Canis lupus familiaris: one gene and its partner. The protein of the gene in region 2 purifies or fractionates together with the protein of the main gene of each other region. This does not show direct contact. Links are inferred from orthologs where the notes say so. Each region holds a gene or a part of one and is shown on either strand. Other genes may lie near its edges.

What was found.
Region 1: the proteins of EWSR1 (region 2) and DDX17 purify together in Homo sapiens (affinity purification with mass spectrometry; 3 studies listed by BioGRID, with this or other methods). This does not show direct contact. The link is inferred for Canis lupus familiaris from reciprocal best matches to the Homo sapiens genes EWSR1 and DDX17.

What each region holds. Positions count from the first base shown.
Region 1 is NC_049231.1:27,281,383-27,285,514, reverse strand, and holds the start of DDX17 (probable ATP-dependent RNA helicase DDX17), read right to left. Parts: upstream 2,801-4,132; coding exon 2,660-2,800; intron 2,322-2,659; coding exon 2,029-2,321; intron 1-2,028. UniProt on the Homo sapiens protein: As an RNA helicase, unwinds RNA and alters RNA structures through ATP binding and hydrolysis.
Region 2 is NC_049247.1:23,000,198-23,003,697, forward strand, and holds part of EWSR1 (RNA-binding protein EWS), read left to right. Parts: intron 1-620; coding exon 621-807; intron 808-2,792; coding exon 2,793-2,960; intron 2,961-3,500. UniProt on the Homo sapiens protein: Binds to ssRNA containing the consensus sequence 5'-AGGUAA-3'. Might normally function as a transcriptional repressor. EWS-fusion-proteins (EFPS) may play a role in the tumorigenic process.

The sequences.
Region 1 (4,132 bases), on a different chromosome or scaffold from region 2:
TAGTAACTCAAAATCATAAATGCAATTTCATGGTAAATGTAGAATTAGGACACAAACATCATGAAAAAGTGCCATTTTGTGTGAAAAGTTTAAAGCTTTAAAAAAAATGTCATCTGATAGTCAATATGGGGTAGAAATATGGATCAGTAATTTACTTTTTCTTCTTTTCAAATAATTTGTTAAAACATGTATATGGTGAAATTAAGTATTAAACCAAACACCTATGGTATGGTAAAGAAACAGAACATGATCAGTACCTTGGTAGCCCTCTGTGCCTATTTCAAGTTTACAAACCCACTACAACTACCATCTTGATTTTTGCTTTTTGGAGTCCGGTCATATACGTATCCTTTTACCACAACTTGCTTTTTCAATGTTTGCTGGTCATCCATTTTGATGCAAGTTTTTTTTTTTTTTCTTCCACGGTTGTGTTACATTCTACTGTAATGAATACCCACCCTTTATCTAGACAGAAGAGTGGTTCCCAATATTTTCATGAACAGTGCTGGTATGAACATTTTTTGTACATGAATGCTGGGGAACACGTACAATGATTTCTCTAGGCTTGTGTCTAGGGTACAAAGCTTAAGAAAGGAATTATTGGGTCATTTTCTACTAGGTAATGTCAAAAATTCTTTGTCTCAAGTGGTTGCACTGAAATTCACTTCTAAATTGAGCTATACTGTGAAACTCTAAGCAAACATTCCACTTCTAGCCCTCCAAATTTAACACTAAGATCAAATATTTTCTTTTCTAACAAGGTATAAACAAAATAATCCTTTTTATTCGGCAATTCAAGTGAATTGAGGTGCTTATGACTAGAGGTCTGGGACTTCTGTATTTGAACCGCAAAAGACAAAAATGTTTGGAGAAAATATCAACAGAACACCTATCACAAAGACACAATTTTACATAGATCTCAATTCCCGAAAACAATGCAAAGTAAAGGCAATTATTATGCCCATCTTCAGTTGAGAAAATAGGCTCACAAAAAGGTCCAGGATCTTGCCCAAGGTCACATATGTATATATATTAATAACTGGCGTTCCATTATTATTTATCCAGAGATAAGACCTTTATTACAAAAAGTTAACAGCACGAACATTCGCATCTCTTAGGCAACTTTTCCCTTTAACTTATGTTAAGATCTGAATCTCAGTATCTGGGAAGAACTTTAATCTTGTTAACTTTCAGCCGTGGCATTATCGCATCGAAACTTTCTAACCAGGCCGAGCAACTAATACTCCAGTCCAACTGGAGAAGAACAGAACACAGGGTGGGAGGGAACCCTACAGTAACCAAAAAAAAAACAAACAAAAAAACCCACAAAAAACCCTCCCTCCCCTCCTCAAATAAGATCATTTAGATGGCAAACAATTCCACTGCTTTACTGTCCAAAGTGCTTCCTTCGAATTATCTGAAATACCACTAAAGGGGATTTTAAGATACATTTAAAACTAGAAATCAGCCATTTGGCGTCTAGTTTCCAACTCGATTTCCAGTTCCTTTAGCAGTTATCTCTGGCGACAGATAAGATAAGGGAAGCCATTTGGCGTCAAGATTTTCCCAGGCCGAACTCGGAGACCTCCTCCTCTTCTCAGCAAGAACATCCGTGTTTTACAGATGAGCGCTGAGGCCTGGAGAGATCAAATGACTTGCCCAAATCGGCCGGGCCCGGCAGCCGGGCGGCGAGGCGAGGCCAGGCTGGGTCTGCGGCGCTCGGGCCGCCGCTCCGGCTCCCCGCCACGACTGCGGTCCGAAAGGAGGGGCTGGGGCGTCGCCAGGCCGCCCCCCCACGCCGGGTCTCCCGTGATCCCGGGGCGCAGGCCCACCCGCAGGCCCGCACACCAAACCGCTATTATGTCCCAGGTCGCCTCGCCTCCCGGAGTCGGGGGCGTCGCTCCCAGGCCTGCAGTCCGCTCCAGGTCTCCCGCTCGGCGGCAGGCTGCGGTCTCCTCAGGAAACAACCTTCCCCCTCCCCCCGGCCCACGCACACGCGAGGCCTTCCCTCTCCCCCTCCCCCCTTACCCTCCACGGTCACGATCCCGGTCCCGGTCCCCAAAGCCGCCTCCGCGCATGGTCCCAAACGGATAGAGATCTGGGAGCGGGGCACGGATGGCCGGGCTCGGGAGGGCCTGCGGCTCCGGTCTGGTGACGACCGATGGCGGCGGCGCCTCCGCTGTTGGGGCGGCGGCAGGCGCGGCGCTCTCTCGCTCCGACGCGCTGTCTCCCGTCGCAGACGCCACCGTCGCCGCCTCTCTCGTCGGAGACGGGAGCAAAACACAGAGAATCGGGGTTATAAAAACTGTGGGTAGGTTTGGCTACGCTCAAACCCGGCAGTGCCGCGGTTTAGGCGTCTCCTTCCTTCCCAGCGACTGCACAAAATGGCGGCCGGCGCTGAGACTGCTCCAGCTTAACGCTACGTACGTCGGAGACGATACGTAAACAGCGTCTTGGAATAGCCCGAGGGCTTGGCGGAGTACTAAGGGCATTCTTGGAAGCCATTTACGTCAGTTGCGCAGACCGGCACATGTTGCAGTCCGTAGAAGAAAAATAAAGTACGAAGCGGGCGTAGAGTGCTCGCGCCACCTGAACTAGAACGTGGGGTGGGGTGAGGGGAAGAGCCTCCGGTGCGACGTAACATTCTTTGCGTCGTTACCCGGCCCACTATTGCGAAGATGCGCAGTGTGCGTAACGCATTCTGTTTGGAGAATAGAAGATTTTGCCGGGTTCCGAACGCGGGACGGAACACGGGCCTCCTTGTGCAAGTTGGTTTGCAGACACAATAACCGTCCTCCATATTGCAGTCGTGAAGTGTCAGGGTTTCCCGGCGCCTTGGGTCCAGGCGGGTCTTCAGGGTTCCTGGATGGCGTCCCTGGGTCGCTCCGCCGGCCTGGGCCTGCCGTCACCGGCCGCGCGCCCCGGCGCCATTTTCTTTCGGTTGCCTCTCGCTGCGCTGTTGCCGGCAGCCATGATGGATGCTCCTTGTCGGTTCTCTCGGGAGGTGGTCGGCGGACGAGGTCCCAGTCAGGTTAAAGCACTCCCTGCTACGCTTGGTTCACACCGAAGTGCGTTTTCTGAGCAGAATATTCACGGTCGGGGGCTGAGCGCAGTTGGCTAACAAAGAACCAACACGCAGGTGGAGCCCCTGTTGAGGAAGACTCCCGGGTCCCATGGTCTCCGTTCGTCGGCGCTGCCTCGGGAGGTCCTGGCAGGCCCTCAGCGCCCTCCCCGGGCGAGGACGGTTAAAAGCCGTGGCCTTTCGACACAGAGAAGGTGAAGGCCTGAGCACGTGTTTTTAACCAGGCCGGAGCATGTTCCTCTCAGTTCCTTCCACGCTGGTTTCCAACTTCCTGCCTCCTCACTCAGACTGAGCTTGACGGTCTCACAAACCTGGCCAGACAGCGTCACAGAATTGTTGAGCTGCTAAGGCCCTCGCGAGCTGCTCATCTGATGTCTCTTTTGTTTATTTCTACAGATGGGGGAGGGGGGCGGGGGCGCGGGATTCGAGGTCCTTCATTGTGGGGGCTGTTGTCTCTTGGTTGTAAATGTTTCCCAAATTATGACAAAAGGAGCTCAAGGAAAGGAGCTTGGTGACAAGCCGTTCAGAGGTCCTTGGGGCCGTAGCGCAGATGGACAATTGGAACCACTGGACCTGTGCTGAACACTGCATCAGCCCAGCACTGTGCTAGGCACTGGGGCAGAGGGCACTGGACACGTGAGTTCCTGCCCTCATGGGCTTTATACCACAATGGGGGGGAATAAAACAATGAATCTTTATGTTATTTAAAGATTGCTAACTAAAAAATAAAGATTGCTGATTAAAATAGAAAAAGCGAGGAAAGGGGATAGTGTTTCTGTGTCTGTGGGGGAGGGGAGTGTATGGATGTCACGGTGTTACATGGGGTGACCTGGGGGAAGGCCTCTCTAATTCAGTGACATCTGAGCAGCGACCTAAAGGGAGGGAGTTAGCTTTGCTGGCAGAGGAAGGAACACATGCAAAGGCCGTGGCGGGCTGTAATGAGGAAAGACGGGAGAGATTTGAAGGATTTGTAGGCTGCTGTAAGGACTTTGTTTTTTCCTTTCTGTAAAATGGAAATCTCTATAAAGTTTTTAGAGTGACATAATAAAA
Region 2 (3,500 bases):
AAATTAAACACATCTTCCCTGGAACTTCAGTTTCCTTTAATTAAACACGAACTGCCCGTGTTGGAATGCTTGGGACTGAAAGCAAAGGAATTCCAGATTACAAGTTTTAATGCTAAAACTGTTACTACCTGGATCATTATTTTTAGCTATTTTAGCAGTGTGTCATTGCCTCTTCCCTTTCTGGGACATTTTATTCTGCTTGAGAGTTTTTTGGGATACTCAACTAGTTAAGAAAATCGTTAAGAAGGCCTGCTAGCAAAACCAATACAGAATCAGCAAAAGCAGACGTTTTTCCTATTGGATCCAGAGGGGAGGTGCAGCAGGAGAAATCTTGTTTTTTACAACGCTTTCTGTGCAGACTCTGGTTTCTCCCTTTCTGTTAGGTGTGATGTTAGCGCAAAAGAGAGTGCTAACTCTTTTCAGAATGAAAACTGGGTACTTCCAGACAACTTAGGCTTTTTAAATATTGGTTTGTTGCTACTCATACTGGAGGGGAAGTTTTTAAAGGGGCTCAATATTGTGATGGTTTAAAGTAGGTGGTTTACAAATTGTTCTTTTAACAAGTGTCTAGGCAGCTCTCTGAGGAGCCAGAAATCTGATGTAGTTCTCCTTTGTTCTAGGTTATACTACTCCAACTGCCCCCCAGGCATACAGTCAGCCTGTCCAGGGGTACGGCACTGGTGCTTATGATACCACCACTGCTACGGTCACTACCACCCAGGCCTCCTATGCAGCTCAGTCTGCATATGGCACTCAGCCTGCTTACCCAGCCTATGGGCAGCAGCCAGCAGCCACCGCACCTGCAAGGTAAGGCCACACTCCCCTAGTTCTGAGAGCACATCAGCTTGTTTCAGGAAAGAGAACAATTACACTGTATCCAGGACTTCATTCCTTTTCTTTAGTGGTTACTCTTAACATACTTACTTTTAGATGGTTGAGTATGTTCTTAAAGTCATCACAGGAATGCTCTAGAGAACACACCACAGATATATCATTCTCCATTTAGTAGAAAAATGGTGCTGTCCAGGGGCCAAGATGAGGAATGTCACTGACCAGTTTCTAGGTACCTTAGTCTAGTTTCAGAAGAGTGATCTTTTGGGATAGGAAGAGACTATTATATTTACTTTACCAAACCCAGAGAAAAACGGAGTGTGTGTTTCCCTTCACAACAGAACTACTGATAGAATTGCACTTTTGATTTTATTGACCTTGTAAATTGATAACAACTTTCTCTTTGGGAAAAACTTGGCAGTTTACAGTACAGGGGAGGTGGGAAGCATACACTGCTATCTGAGTTAAAGGAATTGACATTTTTTCTGTATTCTGTAGTGGCTTGGTCATTTAAATATCACAGGCAAGTATATATCTTAACTGGGTACCCTGCTTTGAGGTGAATATTTGGACAAACAGATTTCATACTCCATGACTAATTAGCAGGTAAACAGTGCTGATTATTACTTAACAGAAGATTTCAGGTCTTTGCTTTAGGCAATGCACATAGGTGGCTTCTGCATACAGTCTTGAAGGAACATTGAATTCTGATTTGAAAGAAGACTTTTTAGGGAATAAACAAGAAATCAACTTGTAACCTAGACTTTTTGCCTACTGTGTAGAGGTAAGAAATTAGCTCTGGCAAACACTCATGAAATTACTTCTAAAAGTGCACAGTGAGTAATCAGAGCTACTTGGTAGTTTACATATGCTGGACAACCTGTGCAGTAGGTAGATTAAACTAATGGATTCCTGTAAAGCTCCGTTTCAGTTGACCTAGGCATTTCAGAATGTTTTCAACTATTTGAAAGCCCATTTGATGATCATTGCCACGGTATATCCAAGCCATAGCAGGAGTGTGGGGGTTATTTATTGATTTTTATAAAATAATGCTTTTGGTTTTTTTTTTTTTTTTTTTTCCCCTTGATTTTCAATCCTTACACTTTAAAACTGCCTCATGATCAGTGTCAGCAACTCCTTTTTCCACTAGAAAGAGGGGGCTTCTGACCCATTTCAGCTCTGGAGAAACCAGTACACTTCCACATCCATCTGGTTTGCCTGCCGATTCTTGGGGGTTTGCTTAAAATAGCTCAAGCTCACTGTGCTACACTCTTGTTGCAAACTGTTAGGGCTGAGAGGTAATAGAAAAACCCTTGGGGTTTTGTTTTGTTTTTTCCTTTGGGATTGGTTTTCATTACTTAATATTTCCCAGTTCAAGGGTTGTTGGGAGCTGGGGCTGGAAGTTGGGGGATCCCTCCTCTATTCTGGTATTTCCATTATGGAGACTTATTTATGTCAGTCCAACTTAGGAAATGTATTTTCAAGTCTGCTCTTAATAAATGAGAAGTCTAAACTCATAGTAATCCAAATTTATAAGTGCCCATGAACTTCTATAAATGTTATTCTGACCTGAAACTTCAGCATTATTATTGAAGTTCCTAGTCTGTCTTCAACAGTCCTTTTTGAGTAAAAGTATTTTCTTCCCTAACAAACCACTTCCCCTCCCAGATCACTTAAGTTGTCAATAGAAAATAATCGTAACTGCCTTTGATTGCTGCTAGTGTGCAACAAATGTAACATGTTGGTATCTCATCTGTGGATGTGATTAATTCTCCCCCTTGTTAGTGTTTTCTTCCAGCAAATATAGTTGGACTGGGGCTGGGTTTGATGTAGTTCAGTTTATAGTTGTATTTACTTCCAAGCTCAATCCTAACATTGCACATTGCTCAGAGGTTTTAGCGTTCTTACCCAAAGTTTTATGGTCGAGGGAAAAAGTCTTACTTTTTTATTTCTCCTTTTAGACCACAGGATGGTAACAAACCCGCTGAGACTAGTCAACCTCAATCTAGCACAGGGGGTTACAACCAGCCCAGCCTAGGATATGGACAGAGTAACTACAGTTATCCCCAGGTACCTGGGAGCTACCCCATGCAGCCAGTCACAGCACCACCATCTTATCCTCCTACCAGGTCAGTATTATCTTTGTCCTCATGGCCAGTGAGCTAGTAGAATCACAGGTTTTATTTTCAGACTGTTGACCAGCTTCTTCCTCAGGTGAAATGAGTTCTCTGACTCTCCCAGTTATAAGGCTGACCATTCAATGTTACATTAAAACCTTTGAAGGACATTTTTTTTTTTTAAACTTCACTTTAATCATTTCATATTTAACTCAGGGGTCCATTCATGCACAAGTCTTTTAATGATTGATTGGGCCAGGGCCTTTCATCCAGAGCTCTAGTCTACAAGTCTACAGGTTTATATGGCACTGTTTTACTTAACTACCCCAGCAGCTACAATGTCTCGTTTGGGTTTCTTGTAAAGCAGAGGAAGAACTGCAGGTTTTCACACGCACATTTAATTAGAAGCAGGTTTTCAAATGAGCTATCTGAATTGTGTCTTAAAGTGTTACCCTAGTTTTGCTAGAAGTAGCACTTACCTTTTTTGCACTCAATTTCATTGGTTTACATATTAAAGTGCCTCAGATGTGGACAGGTTTGGGAGCAAATACA